Anolis sagrei: one gene and its partner. Each later gene encodes a partner of the first gene's protein in a complex. Links are inferred from orthologs where the notes say so. Each region holds a gene or a part of one and is shown in the gene's direction. Other genes may lie near its edges. The genes, in order: EDAR and EDA.

The links.
Region 2: the proteins of EDAR (region 1) and EDA are in contact, whole or in part, in a crystal structure (PDB 7X9G), measured with the Homo sapiens proteins. The link is inferred for Anolis sagrei from reciprocal best matches to the Homo sapiens genes EDAR and EDA. Residues at the interface, in NP_071731.1 of Homo sapiens: Glu55, Pro56, Tyr57, Leu58, Lys78, Ile86, Arg88, Arg89, His90, Asp92, Glu94, Gly95, Phe97, Val134; in NP_001390.1 of Homo sapiens: Gln256, Ser258, Ala259, Gln261, Asp265, Asp273, Arg289, Tyr310, Tyr311, Lys340, Thr341, Tyr343, Ser370.

What each region holds. Positions count from the first base shown.
Region 1 is NC_090023.1:107,390,563-107,402,669, reverse strand, and holds the start of EDAR (tumor necrosis factor receptor superfamily member EDAR), read left to right. Parts: upstream 1-7,392; 5' UTR 7,393-7,557; coding exon 7,558-7,590; intron 7,591-12,107. UniProt on the Homo sapiens protein: Receptor for EDA isoform A1, but not for EDA isoform A2. Mediates the activation of NF-kappa-B and JNK. May promote caspase-independent cell death.
Region 2 is NC_090030.1:170,636-183,317, reverse strand, and holds the start of EDA (ectodysplasin-A), read left to right. Parts: upstream 1-7,162; 5' UTR 7,163-7,225; coding exon 7,226-7,555; intron 7,556-12,682. UniProt on the Homo sapiens protein: Cytokine which is involved in epithelial-mesenchymal signaling during morphogenesis of ectodermal organs. Functions as a ligand activating the DEATH-domain containing receptors EDAR and EDA2R. May also play a role in cell adhesion.

The sequences.
Region 1 (12,107 bases):
GCTGAATAATCATGTACAAGATTGTATTGTTGAGTACTGAAAGAAATAAAATTAGTGATGGGGTATGGATATGGTGCTTTTTCTTGGACGCAGGCTTATACAACTACCCTTTTACAGTTCAAATTGTGTGAGTGCTTATGGGTATGAAAATTCTCACTCCTTTTTACAGTGGCAGGGTATCTTTTGACATTCTAGAACAGTGGTTCCCACCAGTGGTCCGCAAGAACTAAAATATGGTCCATGACCTCAAGGTTACTACACCATTGCAATGAGAATGACTGGTCTTCTGAAACTCTCTTATAATACCGAGGCTTATTAAATATGGTTTTCTGTGGGTGAGCAGATAGCAACTACTGGATGGCAAATGTTCTGCATCAGAATCTAGGGCTGATGTGGTCTAGCCAATGGAATTTTCTGAATCAGCACCCCAAATAACCAAACCAAATCTAAAGTTGATCAAAACTTTATTACTTATTTGTAACCCTTTTGGTACTAATGTTGGAGAGTGGTCCCTGGTCAAAGTGGTCTCTGGTCAAAAAAAAGGTGGGGACCCACTGCTCTAGAAGAAATTAATAACACCATAAAATATAAAGAGTAGTATATTCTGAAAACTTATACTGTTTGTGGCACTGCAATCTAATATCCAATTGTTTTAGTGTATGCCTGTTGAGTTTAAGAGAACATATCTCTGAGTCTCCACATGTCTACTTTTAATAGATTAAAATATATACTAGAATCACACAAGACTGCAGTTGTACTCAGATCATACTATTTGTGTTCTGTATTTTCAGTAGAATTGGGATTCTGAGATTTGATACTTGGATACAAATAACAACATCTGGGATATACTGAACAACAATAAAGATATTATATATGCCAATATTAGTGGCTGCGCTCTGTGGAGCCTATTGAAAGGCATGATTTTAAAAACATACATACAAATATAAACCCTATTTTGGCATAGATTCTAGATATATATTCTTTTTGACATGGCTAGCTCCCCAGAGCTCCATCTTTTACATAATTTCTGATTCTGATTTATGACATTTTTCCTTGGAATGATCTTGTTGGTCTACATAATTTTAGCTTTTTTACCCCTAGATAATATGCTGGTCTATGGATTTATGTTTTCCTAGATATTTTCAAGCTGCATTGAAATTATTAGGTTGTGTTGTAAGTAGAAGTGCTTTAGATGAATCCCAGCTACCTTGTAATGTTGATTTGTACAACTTAATATCAACAATACACTTTTGATTATATTAGTTTTGGTTTGTGTTTGACTAAAGTTCCCACAATATTTTTTAATGTAATCTGGTCTGGCGTATTCTTTCTCCAGACTCAGTCTGATGGAAGACTTATTTCCTTCCTTATATATTTATGTTTGTTTTTTTACATAGAGTGGAACCTCAACTTAAGAGCATCCCACCTTAAGAGCGTTTTTGATTAAGAGGGAGCTAGCTCTTAACTCAAAATGCTGCTCGTATGTTAAAGTGAAACCCGGGCCAAGCAATTGCTCGTAAAATGCTCTTAAGGTGGGGTGCTCTTAAGTTGAGATTCCACTGTATGCGAGAGTAAGCTGTTAAACCAATCAGGCTCCTGTATCACCATATCATCCTGAACTAAATAACTTCTTCAGTGAGAACTAGAGATGAGAAGGCCTGGGGAAAAATTGGGGGGGGGGGGCACAGGGTTTTTTTTTTCTGTTTCCCCCACCCCCAATTTTTCCATTTTTGCCCCCTCCAAATTTTTCAGGTTTTTTTCAGGACTTTCCATTTCTAGTCACAACCCCTCCAAAACTGATGGAAAGATCATTCAACTGTGCTCTGATCGTTGGCAGAACAGATTTACTTTTCCTCTTGAAGCTGATGTCCAAAAAGCAGGTTGTGGGGATGAATTAGAATCATGACAATGGTATCAAAATAATGACTAAACAGTGGTTGTGAACTTAAAGTGCAGCCCTAATTAGCCAAGATTGCAGAGAGCTGGATGAGCTAAGCTAACTGGAGCTGTGCTGAATCCAAACGCCACCCAATCTATGGATCATTTAGAATTATTATTTTTTGCCTTACCTAACTTGAGGGTGTTCCCCTGGACTGGAGGACTTTGAATTAAGTTTGCAGCAACTGTAGTAAGCTGAGAGCAAAGGCAGAAAAAGGGAGGGAGTAGAGAGATGTTTAAGTTATGCCTTGGAGGAGAGGAATAATAATAATAGCAACAACAGCAGCTGAAGACAACAGTAATTCTGAATTTGTTTAGACAGATCACTCTGTAACCAGGTGCCTAAGACCAAATGTCAGAAGAGGCCTCTGCCAGTAGAAGAGAACTTTTATCCACAGAAGTGGCTGCCATATAATCATAACCCTTTACTAGTTGTGCATTTTTACAATTAATTATCAAGATCACGTTTATCAACTAGTAATCAGAATATTCATGAGAATACAAAAGTAATTCATTAGCTCAGCCAAAGGCAGGGAGAGAAGCAATAGCTCAAGCCTCCCAGAGCTTGAGAGATTTCCAAATCCTAGAGCCTACCTTTCTCTCAGACTTTGTTTTTCATTTGGAAAGTTCATGACTGATGCAGACTGAAAACTAACTCACTACATCATGGTCTAGGTTTGCATATATTTCACATATTTTGAATTTAATTTAATGTTTTCCTTGCACACATTATAGTCTTTGCATGGCAGGTGTGATCTTCATCATATTAACCCTAGCATCTGCATTTAAGAACATAAGTTTCATTAAAAATTTAACAGGCTTTTGTTTCTCCTCCTTGGGGGGGTGGGGGGCATGCTCATAGCGGTGCTTTGTTAGTTAAAGTTCTGCAACTAACTGCATCTTCTTAAGGACCTAAACCACTGATTATGGTTTCATTATTTTTCATTCTGTATATTGGAGTGGGTACCTCTTATGAGTTTAGGCACGCATTTTTTGCCTCTGTAACTCTTTAAGGGGGCCATGCTAAATGTTTTTTAATCAATATTTTTCTTGACTAATATAATGAGTGTTTTACAAAAGTAGCTCTTGTGGTGAACACCTATCATGATGCTAATAGCTTTAGGGAGATTATTGAGAGCCAGAGGGATGTACGACTTGCATAATTCCAAAACAGCTATTTAAGATTGCTTAAGATAAATAAATCATTAAATGTGAGAAAACAAAACAAAAGATCTCACCTGCAAAGGATTCTTATCATTAATAATAAATCACCTCTCTGCCCCTACCCTGGCATTATGTGTAGCCTGAAGGGTTGAGCATAATGAACACTTTTCAAAAACTAGGGTCTCCCTGTGTATCTTACTGTGCCAATAGGGCGTAGAATGGGGGAAACTACATGAAGAAAGAAAGCTCTCCTCAGAAGCTCCTAAATGGATGTCATCGTTCTCCCTGCCAGAGGAGGGAAATGAAGTTTTGAGAACTTCCCTCAACAATTCTGTTCTCTCCATTTCATTTCCTAATTTCATTTGATGCTCAGATAGGGTGTGACGCCATCAGATGGGGAATGGGAAGACTGGCATCAAGTTGCCATTCTAGTTTATCATTATTTAGTAATGACAGGCAACACTTAGCCAACTGATTGGGAGACTGGCAGCATCAAAATTGATAGAATATGACTTCGACTTCAAAAGCTTAGAGAATTACTATGCTGCAGATGGAGAAAGCATTGTTTGATATCTGTAATGTTTCTCCACCTGATCTTTGTTGTGGTAATTATGTAGTGTTGTTCTTTTTTTTCTATGCAGGGCTGGTCCTATTTATTTAATTAATTTATATCCTATCTTTCTCCCAAGATGGAATTAAAATGACTTACAATAATTTTAAAAATTACTTTTTTGGACTTCAATTCTCAACAGACAACATGGCCGTGACCATGCGGGTTGTAGTCCAAAAAGATAAGGATGCATAAGACTGTGTAATTTTATGCACGAAATCGTAGTCTTCATAGTGTCAGTATGTTTGTATGTAAGATTAATCAAACCCCACTGAACTCAAAAGGCAATTCAGCAGCATAAAGGACTAAATGTTTCCCTTACTGTTTTACTCACCTTCTATTATTATTTATTTTTCTTAAAATTATCTATATCTTGCCCTCCACCAAAAATAAAGATATCTTCCCTACTTGGGATGTTACACATCTTTGTGAAGTTGAGCCAAAGGAACGTCACTTCTTCAGTGTCATTTTGGTACAATTTCAAATGGAAATAGGTAATTATTATTTTGCTGTTGTTGCTGCTGCTGTTTGAGAACATAGACCTGACTGAAATGCATAGCTATATTTTGCCCTTCAGGTGATGTTAGCGGAAGCTTTGAGGCAAGGTTTAGGGTAAAGAAGTCCATTTCTGAAACAAGATGAAAGTTAAGCAATTAAAGGATGAGGCTCATATTTAATTTTCCCCTTAAAGTGTAATTTTTCATGAAGTGACAACCTCCAGCTCTTTTCAAGTTTTATAGCTGTTCCACATTTGGCAGCAAGAACAGGAAGCCATCTGTAGCAGGATCATTGTAGGCTTATTCACCTATAGATACGGGGGGTGGGAGATTAAAAGCAATGAAAACTTTAAATGAAGGCTTTGAAGATGTGCAATGTAGGATGTTTGTTTCTGCCTGAGGGCTTGAGCTCTACAAACAATAATAGTGGAACATTGATATATTTTTAAGGTGGATATTGTAGTACAAGATCAGACAGAGGTGTAAGGATCGAAGTTTTTACATCCCCTTCTGAGCATGTTTAAAAAGTTAGACCACATTTGTCAAATTCAAAAGTCTGCAGGCCAAATCCGGCTTGCTGCGTCATTTTATGTGGCTCTCTGGATGCTGGACTACAACTGCTGGATCCTTTATTATTAGATGCCATGACTAAAGCGGATGAGTGTTGTCATACAGTAACATCTGGAAGGCTGCCGTTTGTTTGGTTTAGTCAGGATAATGGGCTTTGAATTTAAATCAAAGCTTGTGGTTATGATGTCTGACTTTACAATTTCCTTTAAATTTTCCCCAACCTCAGAGCCGCCAGTGCTGTTGGGTTGTAATTTCCATTATCCCCAGTTCACATGGTGGATGATCAAAAGTGATGGGGCTTGTCATTCACTAACATCTGAGGATCCCAACTGGGTAAAAACTAAAGAGCACCTTTATACATGGATTCTCCATCCATGGATTCAACTGTCCTTTGAAGACAACCATGAAGTGATGCGTCCCTCAATGAAAATGAGTTCGACATGCCTTGAGTAGACCAGTCTTAACCATCTCTGACCACAAAAGGTGAGAATTGGATAGAGGTGCCTCTTAGGCAGCCAGCATATGTTTCTCAGACAATAAAACAATAACGTATGACTGTCTGGGGAATGGTGAGGAGATTAAACATTACAATTCTTACAAAATATCAGCTAAAAACTATTCTAACATTTGTCAGTTCTCAAGTGTCTTCCAGAATAAAAGAACTTTAGTGCAATATTTCTTGCAGGAATCATAGCAGTAGATAAATGATCATTATCATCTTCCCATTGAAGTTTGGAGCTGGAACCATTGGTAACTGGATGTTTAGTTGATTTTGCAGTTCAGCCCAGATAGCAAGGTAGCTACCATCCTCAACCAGGTGGAGCTGAGAACAATGGATTTTTTTAACTCTGGCCTAAATTCATTTAAAATGCCAATTTCACTCAGATTTGTAGCCGGATGGGGGCCAAAACTTCACATTTCTGGCAGGGGTATAGCTTACTTTCAAAGCATCTGAACAGAGGCATGAGATTCCTGCAGAGCTCCTGGCATTTCAAAAGGATGCCAGGAGCCTTGGAGGGGACATTCTTGGAGTATTACTATTGAAAACAATAGTCATAACTAATCCATGTCATTGATTTCGACTGGTTGTTCTAAGCATGATTAAATATTGATGCAACTTATCTAATAAAGTCTTGCCAATCCTTTGTAAGGATGGTCCAAGTTTTAGCTGCTATGCTATGTTATCGGGTATTGTTTTTAGACTGGATTGCATTAGTTGCAAATTTCTTCCAAAATTTAGAAAGTTAGGATTCTGGCATACTTGTTCAGTGTGCCAGAATGCCAACTTTGTGCCAGAATGCTTACATGGAATAGCATTTGAAGTGAGTTACAGTAGGCATGGAAAAACTTCGGCCCTCCAGGTATTTTAGACTTATGCCTGAGTTACAGTGATAGGTGCAAGAACTGCTAAATTGCAGTTAATTTTTAGAAACCACCTGTACTTTTACATTTAATAAAAACAACTGAAGCAGTTACTTTTTCTAACACTGGGATGCTACAAACTGCTGTGGTATGAAGTATACTCTTCCATCTATCTCATTGTCAGTAGGGTACCTATGTGTGATGAATGCTGTATGGGATAAGGAGAGCTATTGCTAGTTTTGATCACTGCACTTTTTAATTATTTTTTTTAGTAATCCCCAATTGTAAACCAAGTTACTGTTTAGTTCAACAAGTTTTAGGATAGGACCATGCATTTTCTGAGAGCAGCACCCCAGTACAGAATATTGTCTTTCAGAGAATTACTTTCCATGTCTAGATAAGAAGCATTGTAATTATTTTAATTGCTTGCAAATGGAAGCTCATGATATGTATGTCTTTCTTCTAATTTGTGGGAGAAAAGGGTTTTTCCAGGTAGTTAAAACAAGCATGCCCTAACCAGCGCTTAATCTTTGGACTACAGATCTCAGAATCCTGCAGCCAGTGTAGCTGCTTGGAGAATTTTGTGTTTGGTAATTTTAAAAAAGTAAGTTTCACACATTGTAGCAGGAAACAGTTTTATTTTAAGTTAGATAACCAAGACTAACTAGTAAAGGGCTCACTATGAATTTGGAGAGAGGGTCCTTTTTCAGCCCTACCTGCAAACACCAGGGGCTTTCTGCATGCCAAACACACGTTTCATGAGCTGCTTCTAAAGAGAACAATTTGGTGAATAAATCCCTTGGTCTACCATATTGACTCCACATGTAATGTGTTAAAAATCCATTGACATGGATCCAGAGGAGTCTTGTACGAGTGACAAGGCACGTCCTTGGATTTAACATAGCTCTGTAGCGTTCTTCTGGTTTTATCTTGTTGCTGTTTCCTGTCCCATTTAAAATCCCAGATGGAAGACACCATTCCTAAACCTATTTGATGATTATTGAGGCTTTAATTTGTGCTTTTCCCCATGAAAGTTAATAATTTTCAAATACAAATGACATAAGCAAAGACCTCTGTGCCCATTGCCTATGTCTTGGCACTCAGGGTGTTAAATAAAAATATGCAAAATTGGTAATTAGATGTAACCAGAATGTTAGGTAAAATGCTACAAGCCTCCAGGCCTTTCAGCATGTTCTAAAGTTGCACAGAATCAGTTGTCTAACCGTGGGTTAGACTCTGAGGCTTTTGAACTCGGCAGGTTTCCTTTCAGAAGACAAATTAAAAAGTTGATTTATCTCTTCTCATCTTGCACACCTTTCCAAGATAGAGAACTGCTCCGCCTTCTTAGTATCAAATGCTAAAATGAAATAGGGTCTGAAAACACCTACTTAACTTTAGAGTTATTTGCCTGTTGTGATGGAACAGTATAAGGATGAGAGAGAAGCAATGGTAAGACTTTTATTAATTTTATAGTTTTACAATAAAATTGATATTTTTCTAGAGATGTCATAGTTTAAGTTTCACTCTTGCATCTTTGGTTGGAACTGCATTATGTTCCAGACGACATTATACAGCCATGTAGATTCATCATATGATGAGGAGTAAGCCCTATTGTCTTACATCTTAGACATGGATACAATTATATGCTGATATAAGCATTTTAGCCAAAGGTAAATAATCTCATAGTGGTAAAAGAAAATGGCTTTTGAAAACTGGTATTTATTTGTGGCACAATAACCTGAAAGAAATGTGATATCCTATTTTGGCTTGTAGGTATTACTGCATGAAGTCATATTGGCAGCTTCGTATATTGTAATATGTTATGATGTAACCAGTGTATTTTCAGTTGTTCAATAAGCAGACAACATGACCTTAAATGAAGGGTTTATGTGGAAACAAACTGATGCACTCTGACCTGCAATTCAGTCTTTAGATTTTTTCGCTCTTAAATAAGGCTTTTGTATCATCACATTAAACATTCTTCCTTAATGATACTGTATAACATTTTGCCAAAGGAAGAAATGACATTTTAATATGGAGGTATTAGTGAAAGTTATGTTCATGGGCTTATTGCTCAAGCCCTACTCATGTCCTATGAAAATCTCAATTCATTTGGAAATGACTTAAATGGGGTAAGATTCTGCATGGTGTGTGCAAAAAGCTGCTTTTCAACATAATATAGCAATTGAGACAATTGAAAAGGTAGCATTGGCAAGTATTGATAGATCTCTCATTTTTTCTGTCTCCAGCTTTACAAATGGAAAAAAAAACTGTATAAAATATGTATTATCATTTTGATAGGTGATAGAATGAGAGAGAATGTGAGAAAGAGTGTGATAGATGGTGGTAACTCAGTGTTGCCCAAACTTTGTTGAGGCGGAACCTCCATCTAATGGACCTTTCCACTTCCTTGAACTCATCATCAGTATGTCTACAGGAAAAATGCAGAGAGAGAGAGAGAGAGAGAGAGAAGGGGGAACAAAGAGGGAAAAGAGGAAAGGATTTTTATTCATACAAGTTGTGGTTGTATGCAAGAATCATGGGCAAAGGTATTAATAGCCCTATTTCTAGCCTTAGAAGAGAAATAGTGGATGATATTTCAGACTCCCTAAAACCATCTAGAAGAAGGCATCAACATAGGAGCTTCCTGGTTCTTTTTCATAATTGTGCTAGTTTGTCTGGGCAGTTGGACAGTCACTTACATAAACCCAACATGAGGATCTTTTAATGAGCCATTTTTAAATTCATTGAGATTGAACAGCAGGGAAAGATGTCCTCTGAAAATTCTTCCCTTCAGATAACACCATGCTGGTTTGTGGCATTCAGATTGTTACTGTCATGTTTCCAAACTCTGTTCCACACAGTATAAGGATAGTTTGAGAGAACAACACTGGAGAAATGCATTTGCTACTTAACGTTGATCCTTCAAAAAGTCCTTATGTTGGTGAATTGTAACAACCTTGTTGCTTTGTTATCAGTTATATACTCTGCTCAAGATAATTGAAGAAGGGTTATCACTAAACATTGATGGTGTTTTTCTCAGGGAGGTGAAATAGTGGAATTTCATGAGCTTTTCAAGGAACTGTTAATAGTAAAGAAGGTATATGATGTGAATGACAGGTTGTGAATACAGAACCAAGATGTATTTTCAAGGGCAACTTCTTTCAGATATTGCTGTCAGAGCTGATTCATTTATCTTAACCTTTGGGTAAATCCATCTGCACTTAGCTGCAGAGAGAGAAAAAAGTTAAATATAGCTACAAAACATATTACTTGTTTATATTTAGCATTTCACGTTTTTTAGTTTCAGAGAACTGAAATAATGTTTTATTATTTTTGCCTACAGCATCAATACATTTGTTGGAAATAAAATTCATTAGCTTTTTGCTGGCGTCCTTAGATTGAGGCAAGAATTTGCCAATGTGCCATATCGTTAAAATGCCATATACTCTTAATGATTTTTTCAAGATACAAGTATATGCTGGCATATCTAGCAACAGTGAGCAAATCTTTTGTGTTGATGCTTGCAGAAGTGTGTGTTTGCTCTGGAGGGCATAATTCGCAACTTCAGAATGGCCAGATTCACTGAAGTCATTGCCAAATGCTTACAGACTTCCGCGGATTAAGGTTACCTCCTTAAGCACACAGGAGCTTTCATCCCAGTGGCTTCCAGCAAGATGTGTGTTCTTCTAGGGCCTAGAGTCAAATTATTCAAGCGTTACCTCACAGTAGCGGAAGACTTGCACCCTGAAGGGGGGAAGATTCATAATGAAGCACAGCAATGGATTAGATATACTGTATCATATAGCGGAACCATTCCCTCAAATGAACCTCTTTGAAGGATACCAAAATGGCCTATGCCAACAATGATCAAACCTAGAAGATCTCCACTAGCAAGATGTTGAACATATAAAAAATGTATATCAACTAAATCACATCAACAGTATGCTGTAAATCAGAGATGGGAGATCATTTGCTCTTCAGATGTCTCCTATAGAGCCTTGTCATTGGCATCTCCTGCTATCATGGCTGAAGTCTCAATCACATAGAGACCAACAGGTTCTCCAATATTTTGACCTCTGTAACAGTTTGAGTATACCCACAACTGCTTCACTTACTCAAATATTTTGAAGTGGGGATGAAAATGAGAAGAAAATCATTCATTTGGATTACTGTGCATAGTATTGATAGATTTTAAATCACCATGACCAAGATGTACATTGCATTCTGTTCCCGAGCACCAAGTTCAAGCAACATATGGAACAGGTTTTAACAACATAGAAAACACTCTTTCTTGGGACACCAGCAATTTAAACTGATGGGATTAGCGGAGCATAACAGTGTTCACTATGTTTGGGTCATGACAAGCACTTTAATTTTATGGATTCAATTAAATTTCACTTGCAGCAGAGTGTACTCATAGGATACACTGTTATATCTGCTTGGCATCAAAATGCATTCATAGAAATTGTTTTTTAAAGGAAAAGTAAGCCACTTAAGAACTAATATGTAGTATAGCCTAGTGTGCCCAAATGCAAGGAGCTAACTATATGAGGGTTACTGCTTCTATCACATTCCTTGTCAGCATATAAAAGAAGTGCAGAGAGACATTCAGTATGTGGACTAGATGGATCTCTAGTATTTTTCACTCAGTGTCACAGGGATAGTAGTTGATCTGGAGAACATTGGCTATTCATGCAAAACAAAACCTTGAAATTTGCCAAGCAATGCTATCAGTGGCACTGGGGATAGGGGATTCTAGGAACTGTAGTCTCAAATACTAACTTCTCCAAGCTCTGGTGCAAGAAAACCCTCTCAAGGTACTTTGAGATATTTGCTTTACACCAGCACCATGTTATGATAAGTGGATGCTCACAATTCAGTGTTGAAGCTAGGATATAGCCACATTGAAGAATTATAGCCCCTACCATAATTGCTACAGTTCACTGTTAGAGAATTCTGGGATTTGTGGTTTTCTGAGGTATCTAACCTTCCCTGTCACAGAGCTCTGGTACAAAATTCTATAGCAATGAACCATGAAAGTTAAAGGTGTTATCAAACTGCTGTAATTCTGCAGTGTGTCCTCTCCCATGGTGATCCCTGTGGAGAGTTGTATTCTCAAACTATAAGCCTTTGAAGTTCTGCTTTGTACCAGAGCTTTATGTTCTTCAGACCAATTGTTATTCCCACAATATCATCCCAAAATAAATGCACCAACAAGATTAGTTTAGAGATAGAGCCGCAAGCATCATAATTCTTCAGTGGCAATAATTATGTACACAACAATCACTACCGCCACCACATAAGAGCCTTTTTCTGTAGACTACATCCTGTTGTATTTCCCAGTTCAGTTCTGTACTCTTCAAGGTAGATAACATGTTGAAGCGCCTTGGAAAAGAAATGCATCCATCCCATAGTGGCCAGAATGGATGAAGTGCAACAGCCAAGAAAGAGAAAGAGCCTTGTCACATTACACTCTTATAGCACTATACTCCACTTCAACTGCCATGGCAATAATCCTGTCGAAATCTGGAAGTGATATAGGATCCTGTACTATTCTATTAAATGAAGGCCTAAGGGACTGTGTTGGAGAATGTCAAAGTGATGAAAGAGGATCTTTTATTACGCCATGATCTCTTTGTGTTTAGCTGATACCTCTGGGTGTGGGTGGGCCCTTTTGGAGATGGGATACAAGTACAGATAGCTGTGTCTCTGATGGTGTATACAAAATATATGGTAACCTGCCTGCCAAACGCAAAGGTTGGGGATGTGAGATATCAATGCCTTGTGGGTTTATTCCAGAATTATGGCATAAAATTGATTTTTTTTTGTATGCAGTCAGCAGTTATTTTGGAAATGGTAACTATAGTAGAAGGGCCTGGTAACCAAATGTAAGGGGTCAAATAAGAGCAGCAGACAAGACAGGCTTTGAATTTGATCCAAGCAGGAATATTTAAAATATAGTT
Region 2 (12,682 bases), on another chromosome or scaffold:
TTCTCGCTGCTATTTGCATTTCTAAGTGCCCATTCAGTGTCAGGGGAAGGCCCATCTCACTGCGGATGGAGTAGTCTTGCAGGGTTTTGGTGACTCTCATCCTAGGAAGTCTCTCCGGGATTCTCTAAAGCGACTCGGAGGTCAAACTGAGGGAGACAGAGGTGCGAAACAGGCCAATGCAGAAGGCTCTTTGGGGCCGGGTTGCGCTTTCAAGTCTTCTTCCCCCCTCACCCCAGTTTCACTCCTCCTCCTCCTCTTTCCTTCCTTCCTTCCTTCCTTCCTTCCTTCCTTCCTTCCTCCCTCTTCCCCTTTCCTCTCCCCCTCCCTTCCACTCTGTGTCCTTTCGAAGGGAAGGGAGAGGCCTTTTTCTTAATGCCATTTTATACACTGTGCTTCATGTTTAGGACTTTTTTGCACTAGTAGTCCCTTCCGACGACATTGGATTCCCCCCTCCCCTCCCCCCCCCCAAGATGGTTTGACAACACACTTAACAATGAGGACAACAACGACAGCAAACCCATGCTATAATTCAGTTGTATTAAAACTTATTATCCTACTACTCTTCTGTGTTTCAATAGTCTCTGTACCTGTAATGCTTTTTCGGTTTCTGTTGTATTTCGGACCAGGGTTTTCCCTCTGCTCCTTGTTTAACCCAGTAAAGAAATAAAACCAAGTGTTGAGAATTGACGGTGAGAAGCCCCCGCGCGGTCGGTTATTTCTCCTCCGAGAAGGACTTCCCTCCATCCGGGCACTGACGTCCCTAGGAACGCAGCCCAGAACCGCATTGGCCTTTTGCGCTGTTGCGTCACAATTGTGCCTCGCGTTCAGTTTGTGTCTCACAGGGGCTGTTTCCAAGGGACTGGGTCCCTCATCCATTATGATGTCTTATGTTTATACATCACTTTTCTCCCCACAAGGAGACTCACAGCGGTTGCTATATCCCAGATGACTTCTTTCTGTACATTATTATTATTATTATTGTGTTTATACCCTGTTTATTCCTTCAACATTATTATTATTTATTATTTCACAGATTTGTATACCGAGCTTCTCAACCTCGTTGAGGGACTCAGCCCGGTTTACAGCCATAAAAACATATACACTCATTAAAATATCATATATCACAAATTACAAAACAACTTTAAAAACACTAAATATAAAACTACAGTGGTCAGTCGTCCTAATAAGATGGATCTATATCCACTTCCATCCAGAGTCCTATGGTGTTGGCTCATTCCTCGAAGGCCTGACTCCACAGCCACGTCTTCACCCGTTTCCTAAATGTTAGGATGGATGGGGCGGTTCTGGCCTCTAGAGGGAGAGAGTTCCAGAGTTGTGGGGCCACCACTGAGAAGGCCCTGTCCCTCGTCCCCACCAGCCGCGCTTGCGAGGCTGGTGGGACCGAGAGCAGGGCCTCTCCAGATGATCTTAGTAATCTTGATGGTTTGTAGGGGAGAATACGTTCAGAGAGGGAAACAGGGCCGGAGTCGTTTAGGGCTTTATAGGTCAACACCAGCACTTTGAATTGTGCTCGGAAGCTAATTGGCAGCCAGTGGAGCTGGCGTAACAGCGGAGTGGTGTGCTCCCTGTATCCAACCACCGTTAGTAATCTGGCTGCCGCGCGTTGGACTTGCTGCAGCTTCCGGGCAGTCTTCAAAGGCAACCCCACGTAGAGAGCGTTACAGTAATCTAAGCGGGATGTAACCAAAGCATGTACTACTGTGGACAAGTCAGCCCTCCCAAGGTACGGACGCAGCTGGCGCACAAGTTTTAATTGTGCGAAAGCTCCCCTGACCACCGCTGAGACCTGGGGTTCCAGGCTCAGCGATGAACCCAGGAGAACTCCCAGACTGCGTGCCTGAGCTTTCAGGGGGAGTGTGACCCCGTCCAGCACAGGCAGTCACCCCATACCCTGTTCGGTCTTACGACTGACCAGGAGGACCTCTGTCTTGTCTGGATTTAGTTTCAATCTGCTGTCCCTCATCCAGTCCGAGACAGCGGCCAAGCACCGGTTCAGGACCTGAACAGCCTCCTTAGTGGCAGGTGGAAATGAGTGATAGAGTTGGACATCATCTGCGTACAGATGACATTGCACCCCAAAACTCCGGATGATCTCTCCCAGCGGCTTCATGTAAATGTTAAACATGGTGACTCAAAGTTGCTATATGCCATAGGACTTCTCACGATCCATATTATTATTAGTTTATGTTTATTATTACCATTATTATGTTTATTATGTTTATTTATTTACTTATCCTTCTCTCCAGAAGGAGACTCAAAGTGGCTCCTGTATCCCATATGATTGCTGTGTACTAATCTTGTTGTGCATCCAATAATAATAATAATAAGATCGCTCTGCTAGCTGTTGTATTGGATCACATGTCCTTCCCAAGTGTCTAGGATTGTGTGATGTATTGGCGTGTAATGCGTGCAGATTCCAGTAGAGAGGCCTTTTGCAGCTGACAGGTGGGGATTTGGTCAGCGCCAATTGTTTTTAATAATAATAATAATAATAATAATAATAATAAAACTTTATTTATACCTCGCTCCATCTCCCTCAAGGGGACTCAGTGCGGCTTACATGAGGTCAAAATAACATAAAAACATAGAACCAAGCAAAATACATAAAATGCAAAATCAAAACAATATATGACGCAAACAATATAAAATCAAGAATTAAGGAAAATTTCACAAGGCAGGGCCAGATTCACGGATACAATTTTTAATTTTTTTAAAAAAACATTGGGAGATAGGACATTGTAAATTATATGGAGGAGGCTCCGGGAATGAGGAAGGATTTCATTGCACAAACCAAAAATAAAGTGCTTCTAAGGACATTTTGTGCAAAATGTGGTCAGGGAGAATCTTACATTATCTTAAATGTAATCGTACTTACATTTAAGTGCAGGCCAAGGTCTTGAGGCACTGCACCCAGTGTGCCCATCACCTCCGGGACCCCTGAAGTCGATAGGAACTTCAGGAGGGTCTGCCCCAGGAGGAGAGACCCTGTGGCCTCACCAAAGAGGGATCACTACATTGGTGAGCAAAGAGAAGCCTGATTTTAAGCAATTTTTATTTCCCTAGGTTCCCAAACAGAATCTCACCAAGGTTGAAGAAGCACCACCGAGATGTTTATTAGTGATTCAGCTGAAAAGGATGCAAAGCCGCGATCATTCGTCAAGCAGAGCATGTGGTTACAGAAATAAATGCCATTTTTATAGAAAATACAGAGTTGTGAGTTTCAAAATTCCCGATGGTGATTGGCTGGCGCGCTAACAGCTTGGCCGTTCTCTGTGCGCCTGGGCCAATCATAGGGCTTCCGCGGTGCGCCTGAGCCAATCAGGAGGCTCCCCCACCTCGACACTCCAGTGAATCAGAAGGGAGGGAGGCGAGACAAAGAGATACAATGCATTCTTGAGTGGATTATGGAGTTTAATAACCTGGAGGCTTAACGAGTCTGGAACCTGCCTGCCAGAAAAACCAACTTTATTGTCTTGAGATGGGTCTGCAATAAGCATTGATCACTTAATCCGGCTTTTCCGCTTGCGATCAGATAGAGCACAAAGGGGAAGACTTTGGTGAATGTCTTTAGTGGAGAGATTTGAAAGAAAAACGGGTTGGGAGGGAAAGGGCTTTACGAAGGTCATCTTTCCCCCATTATTATATGATTAAAAAGTCTGCCAAGCGGAAATCCTCTTGATGGCCCTACTCCGAAGTCAAGAAAGATATTCCTTTGTTATTGTCCACGCAAGAAATGTCCTAAGATAAGGGTACTTTCATGATCGCTAATTGCTTTTCAGAGACAGGGCAACTTCCCTCAAGGAAAGGGGAAAGGGGGTAAAAGGGTCAGGGCAAGGTCAGATACATGAAGGGAAATATAGAAATCTAGTAATCTTGATGAAAAATCATATCCAGGCATCCCCCCCCCCCCCAAACAGAGCAATTTTAATCACAGCACAGTTTGAGTTCATAGTTCATTTTGGAAAAATTCATGGGTGAAAAAGGTTTTTTTTTTAAATGAAGTCCAAAAGTATATGACAGAAAGTCCAAGTCACAAAAAGGAGTCTGGTGACTTCCACTGAGCCAAAAGATGGAGTCCTGCAGTGCTGAGGTCGAAGCTGGTCCTTGGTCCTTGGAAAACTATAGCTCCTTCCAAGGGCTGAAGCCTGATGATGAGGCTTGGATTTTGACTGTTCTCCTTTTAAAAAATATTCTTGATAAACCAAAGGTTATTCCCTGAGCCTAGGGGCCCAAAATGCAAAAAAGCGAGATGGCAGATAGGGTTAGAATTTAGCTAGGAAAGATATGGCATCAAAATGGAGTCGATCCGTCAACTTGCGGATATGGGGCCCCGAAGGGTTTCTGTATCCGCGGTTTGAAGGAAAGCAGATTCAGCCTCCCTGGGACGCCAGGAAGGCATCCCAGGCAGGCCTGCGGTCTCCCGCAGCCCAGAAAAGGTTGTTTCATGCATTTATTTATTTATTTGCTTTATTTCTATACCACATTTTTCAGCCCAGTCAGGCGACTCAATGCGGTTTACACAATACAGGTTATCAAACAATGTCATAGGCAATTAAAACACATCATATACAACAAACAAAATCAACAACAACTATCAAATCATGTCATAACGCCTCAATGAAATCAGATCCGTTCTCATAATCCTTGTGCCATTCCTATGTTCAATTTTACCGTCTTTCTGTGTTCAGTTGCACTGTTTAGCCAAACGCTTGCTCATAAAGCCAAGTCTTAACCTTCCTCCGAAACGCCAACAACGAAGGGGCCTGTCTGATGTCTACAGGTAAGGCATTCCATAGCTGAGGGGCCACCACCGAGAAGGCCCTGTCCCTCGTCCCCACCAGACGCGCCTGTGACGCAGGCGGGACCGAGAGCAGGGCCTCCCTGGACGATCTTAATGTCCAAGTCAGTTTGAACCAGGAAAGGGACACAAAGTATCATTCTGGAGAGGTTAGGGTTACAATTCATTTAATCTTTATTGAGGGATTTGTTACCTAGTTTGGGCTGGGAAAAGGAGTGAGAGGAAAGAGCACAGGGCGGCAAAGAGTCCCCGGTTGAGGCTGCTCTTGCGGGGGCACCAGTTTCATCAGTTTCAGCCCAACTGGGCATCCAGGAACTGTGGAACCCCCTGCGGCTGGTCAGATCAGCTTGAAGGCAGGGGTCAGGGATGCCCTCGACGACACCCCCACGATTGGCTTTGCAGCTCGATCTTTCAATCCTCGCATCGTGTCAGCTTTTCCAGTTGCTTCTCGTTGATCGCCTGGGATTGGCAAATCCATGACCCAGGCACACTTGGTTTTTCCCCACAGTTGTGAGGTCAGGAGTCGTGTGCTCACTCAGCCTGAATCCGGAAGTCCCAGAGTGGTCTGACGTGTTCGTTTCCTGTGACTCTAGGCAGGCTGGCGATCCCACCCGGATCTTTGTGGCACCAGTTCCAATGTATTGTCAAAGGCTTTCATGGCCGGAATCACTGAGGGGTTGTGGTAGGTTTTTCCGGGCTAGATGGCCATGTTCTGGAGGCAACTTTTCTCCTGACGTTTCGCCTGCATCTGTGGCAAGCATCCTCAGACCTCACTACCTCTGAGGGTGCTTGCCATAGATGCAGGCGAAACGTCAGGAGAAAAACTGCCTCCAGAACGTGGCCATCTAGCCCGGAAAAACCTACCACAACCCACAAGTTCCCATGTTGAGATGTTGTTGATGCCTCTCCCATAGCAGGCCCCCTCCCTGCCTGCCCTTCCCCTCGGCGCCCGCCAGGTGGCGCCCTCGCCTCGCCTTCCTTAGAGGAGCGGCTCCGCCCCCTTTTGTCTCGAGAGGGCGGGGCCAGGCCTCGTGACCTCGCCGGAAGGGCTTCCAGGCGGGGGGGGGGCGAGGGGGGCCGGGGGGGGCAGGAGATTAGGAAATCCGCCGGAGGGCCCCCCCTCCCCAAAGGCCGCCCAGCTCGGAAAACAGACCATGGGATCGGAGATATCCTCTATTCCATTATTATTATTATTATTAGATGAATAATTAATAGTCCTTGTCATACTCCTCATTTACTCCCAGTGTGGGTCTCTATGGCTGTTCTCTCTCCCTCCTGGGGGGCTCCCAATGGCATGCCTGCCCTGCCTTCCTGGCTCACCCACGGGGTCGCCCTCCCCTCCCCCCGTCAGCACCTTGGCCAGCTCCTTCCTGAGACTGCCTTCCGCACATCTCCCGGGAAGGAAGGCGGGACTTCCGGGCAGCCAGCCCTCTTGGGCTGCGAAGGGGGCGGGGCGAGCGAGCAGGGAGAAGCCCCGCCTCCCCCTGGGGGGGCCTTGAGAGGAGGCGGAGCCAGCGAGGGGGCGGGTTTCCCCTTGGCCCGCCCCCTAAGGGTCTCTCTGCGGGCTCCTTCCCGAAGCCGCGCCCTCTTGTCTTGGCCCCGCCCCCTAAGGGGCTCTCTCCGTGCTGCGAGGGGGCGGGGCCTGAGAAGGGGGCGGCCCTCTCTCCCTTGGCCCCGCCCCCTGAGGGGCTCTCCCTACTGGCTCCTTCCCGAAGCCACGCCTTCCCTCCAGAAGCCCCGCCTCCTCCTCCTGGCTTGGCCCCTCCCCCTGGGGGGCGTTGAGAGGAGACGGAGCCGAGGGCGGGGAAAGCCAGCGAGGGGGCGGCCCTCCCTCCCTCCCTCCCTTGGCCCCGCCCCCTGAGGGGTCTCCCGGCTGAAGCCCCGCCCTCCGCTCCTGGCCTGGCGCCGCCCCCTGAGGGTCTCTCTCCGTGCTGCGAGGGGGCGGGGCCTGAGAAGGGGGCGGCCCTCTCTCCCTTGGCCCCGCCCCTGAGGGTCTCCCTGCTGAAGCCCCGCCCTCCGCCCGTGCTCCTGTCTTGGCCCCGCCCCCTGAAGGGGTCTCTCCTAGCGGCAAGGGGGCGGGGCCTGCGAAGGGGGCGGCCCTCCCTCCCTCCCTCCCTTGGCCCCGCCCCCTGAGGGTCTCCCTGTTTCCGGAGCCTGCCTGCCTGCCTGCCTGCGAGGGGGGCGTGGCCTGGAGCGGGGAGAGCGCGAGTCGGCGCTCCCTCCCTCCTTCTCTCCGCTTGGCCCCGCCCCCTCCCGGGCTCCGCCCCCTGGGGCTTCCTCCTGGCGCGGGCGGCTTCCAGGCCAGAAGGCAGGCGGGCGGGCGGGCGAGCAGGCGGGCAGGAAGGAAGGAAGGAAGGCAGGCAGGCAGGCAGGCAGGCAGGAGGATGCGGGCGTCGTAGCGCCGCCATGGGCTCGGAGCCGCCTCTCCCCCCCGCTCCCGCTGCTCCGGCTCTGGCGTGCTCGGCGTGGGTGTGGCGGGCGCTGGGGGCGTTCCTGGCGCTCTCGCTCTCGCTGCACCTCCTCACCCTCGGATGCTACCTCGAACTCCGCTCAGAGATCCTGCGCCGCCGGGACACCCCCCCAGGGGGCGCACACACGCAACACCAGCACCACCAGCACCACGCCCAGCTCCCCACACCAGCAACAGCAGCAGCAGGAGGGGCCGGGGGCGGGGCCCAGGCAGGGCCGCCACGCCCCCCGCAAGGCACGCCCCCCGCCCACCACCACCAGCGGCAGGTAAGGGGGGCGGGGGGGGACGTGACCCATCTGGGCTTGCACCTGTTACTAAGGGGCATCCTGTCTGTGTTAACATAGAAGAAGAAGAAGGGGGAGCTGCCATGGGATATCATGAATAGGATTAGCATAGAATAATAATAATAATAATAATAATAATAATAATAATAATGGGAGGGGGATCTACCATGACATCTAATGAATCTTATTAATATATAATAATAATAATAATAATAATAATAATGATGGGAAGGGGAGCTACCATAACATATGATGAATCATATTAATATATAATAATAATGGTGATGATGATGGGGAGGGGGACTACGATGACATATGATAAATCATATTCATCTTAATATACAATAACAATAATAATAATAATGGGAGGGGGGAGCTGCCATGACATGATGGATCATATTAATATATAATAAGAATAACAATCATAATTCATATTAATATGTAATAATAATAATGGGAGGGGGAGCTGCCATGAGATATCACGGCCAGGTATAACTATGTGAGGGGAATACGTCCTAGGGAGGAGGAGGGAGCAAGCTTCCTTTCTGCTTCCTTTCCTTGGAGACTAGGACGCAATGGAGCAAAGGCTCCAAACTACAAGAGAGGAGATTCCACCTGAACCTGAGGAAGAACTTCCTGACTGGGAGAGCCGTTCAGCAGTGGAACTCTCTGCCGTGGAGTGTGGTGGAGGCTCTTTCCTTCTTTGGAAGCTTTTAAGCAGAGGCTGGATGGCCATCTGTCAGGGGTGCTTTGAATGCAATATTCCTGCTTCTTGGCAGAAGGAGGTTGGACTGGAGGATGGCCCACCAGGTCTCTTCCAACTCTAGGATTCAATGAATTATATTAATATATAATAATTAGCTATATAAAGAAACATGATGATGATGATGGGAGGGGGGATCTGCCATGACATAGAATGGAGCATATTAATCCATAAAAATACAGTATAACAGTAGTAATAATAATAATAATAATAATAGTAATAATGGTGGAAGCTCCTTCCTTAGTCGCCATTGTTTTTATTATTATTACTATTATATTTGTTATTCATTCATATGATTCATCCTGTGCCATGGCAGAAGATTCCAGTAAATATGGTATTGAGGGTTTATTATTTATATATTATTTATTCATTCATTCATTCTTTATTTATTTATTTATTTCCCACCCCTCCTTTTGGCTCGAAGCAGGGCACAACATGCATTATTAATACTATTATTATTATCATTGTTATTCCTTACCCACCTCTCTTTTTGTCTCAAGGTCCCCAATGACATGTACTGTTATTATTATTTTCATTATTGTTATTATTGTCATTCCTTACCGGCCTCTCTCTTTTTGGCCCGAGGCTGGGCACAGCGCAGTTTACATGCATTCCATAAAAGCACCTCGGAGGGCATGCGCCGTGGGTGCCGTAGGGGCCGGAGGGATGTGTCCCGTGGGCCCGGCCCTATTTTTTATTTATTTATTTGGGGTTCTTTTACCCCGCCCTTCTCACCCCGAAGGGGACTCAGGGCGGCTTACAAAAGCAAGGCACAATTTGATGCCTGCATCATAAAAACAATCAAACACAAAATTACATCAATACACAGTTAACACCAAATATACATTATAACCATAAAATCAATAAAACCAAATACAAACCCAGTTTGTCCTCTTACATGGTCAGCGTTTGCTACTCATAGATCTAGTTTTCCGTTCCACTTCATCAATCCTGCTGGTCTTACTCGCCTGGTTGTCTGATTTAATTGCCGGAGTGCCCAAAGGCCTGGTCCCATAACCACGTCTTCACCCTTCTCCTGAAGGCGAGGAGGGATGATGATGCCCTGATTTCCCCTGGGAGTGAGTTCCACAGGTGAGGGGCTACCACTGAGAAAGCCCTGCTCCTCGTCCCCACCAGCCTCACTTGTGACAGTGGTGGGGTCGAGAGCAGGACCTCCCCAGATGATCGCAGACTCCAGGGTGGGACGTAGAGGGAGATATGTTCGGACAGATACACTGGACCAGAACCGTACAGGGTTTTGTAGGTCAAAACCAGCACCTTGAATTGTGCTCGGAACTGAATCGGCAGCCAGTGGAGCTGGCACAGCAGAGGGGTGGTATGCTCCCTGTATGTCGCTCCAGTGAGCAATCTGGCTGCCGCTCGCTGGACTAGTTGAAGTTTCTGAACAATCTTCAAGGGCAACCCCACGTAGAGCGCATTGCAGTAGTCTATTCAGGATGTAACAAGAGCGTGGACCACCGTGGCCAGATCAGACTTCCCAAGGTACGGGCGCAACTGGTGCACAAGTTTTAATTGCGCAAAAGCTCTCCCGGCCACCGCTGAGACCTGGGTTTCCAGGCTCAGTGATGAGTCCAGGATCACTCCCAAGCTGCGAACCTGCGTTTTCAGGGGGAGTGGAACCCCGTCCAGCACAGGCTGTAACCCTATGCCCTGTTCGGCCTTACGACTGACCAGGAGGACTTTTCCAAAGGGCTGTGCAAGGAGATGGCTGCCCTTCAGGCCTTCCTTCATGGGCCGTTGGGTCAGTTCCCTGGGGCCCAAGCCCCCCTTCAGGCCTGGTCAAGCACACAGAATGATGGTGGCCTCGTCCTTGGCCATGCCTCTGCCCATGCGTTTGAGTTTGGGAACACACTCCCATTCCACGGTGGCTCTGTTTACTTTCCCTTTGGGATTTCTGGGCTCACGTGCAGGAGGTGGGCCTGTTCTGCAACCGGCTGGGGGGGATTGGCCACTTGGGGTGTCCGTTCTGTTTCCTTCAATCCTCTTGCAGAGCACTCGTGTTTATGTCCACCAAAATAAGAACTGCTTTGGCTGAAAGGCGCTGCCACATTTCCTTCCTTCCTTCCTTCCTTCCTTCCTTCCTTCCTTCCTTCCTTCCTTCCTTCCTTCCTTCCATTGCTTCCTCCCTCCATCCATCCTTTCCCTTGATTCCCAGTCCTCCTTTTCTTTCCTTCCCCTTCCTTCACCCTTTTCTTTCCAACCCATTCCTCCTCTCTCTCTCTTGCCTTCCTTCCTTCCCTCCCTTCCCTCCTCCATGCCTTTTCCTTCCTTCTTTCCTCCCTTGCTTTCCTCCCTTCCTTTGCTTGCGTGTTTCCTTCCTTCCCTCTTTGCTTCCTTCCTTCCCATTCCTCCTCTCCTTCCTTCATTCCTTCCTTCCTTTGCTTGCTGGATAACTTGCTTCTTTCTTTCCTTTTCCTCCCTCCATTCCTCCTTTCCCTTCCTTTCCCTTCCTTCCTTTGCTTGCTTGTTTCCTTCCTTTTCCTCCATCCCTCCCTCCCTTCCTTTCTTCCCGTTCCTCCTCTCCTTCCTTCCTTCCTTCCTTGCTTTGCTTGCTAGCTTGCTAGCTTGCTTCATTATTTCCTTTTCCTCCCTCCCTTCCTCCCTTTCCCTTCTTTCCCTCCTTCGATGGTTTGTTTCCTTCCTTTTCTTCCTTCCCTCCCTTCCCATTTTTTCTCTCTTTCTTTCCTTCCTTCCTTCGCATGCTTGCTGGCTTGCTTCTTTCTTTCCTTTTCCTCCCTCCCTTCCTCCTTTTCCTTCCTTCCCCTTCCTTCCTTCCTTCCTTTGCTTGCTTGTTTCCTTCCTTTTCCCCCCTCCCTCCCTTCTTTTCTTCCCATTCCCCCTCTCCTTCCTTCCTGCCTTCCTTCTTTTGCTTGCTTGCTAGCTTGCTTCTTTCTTTCCTTTTCCTCCCTCCCTTTCCTTCCTTTCCCTTCCTTGATGAATGGGGCTCCTTAAAGGGTTATTTTGGGGCCACCTTCCTCCTGCTGACCTCCCTCTTGGCCGGAGACCCTTCTTGACGCCCCCCCTCCCTTTGGGGACCCATGGCCTGGAGTGGGGCTGGAGGCGGAGGATGCAGGCACCCCTTGTCCCACCTGGCAGGGTCAGCGTGCCCTTTGCAGGCAGGCGGCTCTTCCCAGGGAAAGATGGGGAAGGGAGCGAAGGAGCGAAGGAAGGAGCGAGCGGAGGAGAGAAGTTCACTGGTTCCTCCTTGGCAGCCTCTCCTGCCTCGGGGCTGGTGGACGCCATCCAGGGAATCAACTCTGGAATCAGGCTGACTTCTTGCCAGCTGTTTTGTGTTTCCAAATCGTCTATAAACAATGCGGAGAGGAAAAAACAACGCCTCCGAGCCCAACCTGACGAAGGCAGAATGAGACAAGTGTGTGTTTTTCCATCCCTCTGACTCAGGTTGGCTTCGGCTCCGGCTCCGGTGTCAGTCCCTTGCAAGGCCGCTGGGGTTGGCTCCCTTTCCCTTCGCCCAGGACTGAAACCCATTCCGTTTGGAGCCTGGGCTTGGCCTTCTGGCGGGTTTCCCCATCAAGGAGGGTGGACTGGGGGGCCTTTAGGGGACCCTTCCATTACTATTATGTGAGTTGGAAGGCCATCTATTTGGATTGCTTTGGTGGTGTCCTTCCTGGTAGAAGGGGTTGGACAGGATGGCCTTTAGGGGTCCCTTCCAATATTACTCTGTGAGCTGGATGGCCATCTCTTTGGATTGCTAGGACCCTATCATTCTATGGCCGGCTGGATAGCCATCTGTCAGGTGGGCTTTGGTGGTGTCTTTCCTGGCAGATGGAGGTTAGACTGGATGGCATTTAGGCACCCATTTCAATATTACTCTGTGACAGGCTGGATGGCCATCTGTTGGGAGGGCTTTAGTGATGTGCTTCCTGGCCAAAGGGGGCTGGATTGGATGGCCTCTAGGGGTCCCCTCCAGCTGTAGGACCCTATGATTCCATGACGGGCTGGGTGGCCATCTGCTGTCCTTCCAGTCAGAAAGGGATTGGACTGGATGACCTCTGGAGGTCCCTTCCAATATTGTTCTGTGGCAGCCTGGATGGCCACCTGCTGGGAGTGTTCTGATGATGTCTTCCCTGGCAAAAGGAAAAGTAGACTGGATGGCCTTTAGGGGTCCCTTCCAAAATTATTCAATGATTCTATGACCATCTGCATGGAGGACTTTAATAGTGTCCTTCCTGACAAAAGGGGGTTAAGTTGGATGGCCTTTAGGGACCCCTTCCAATATTACCCTATGCTTTTATGACAGGCTGGATGGCCATCTGTCAGGAGGGCTTGAGTTGGGTCCTCCTGCCTGAGAGAAGGGAGATGGA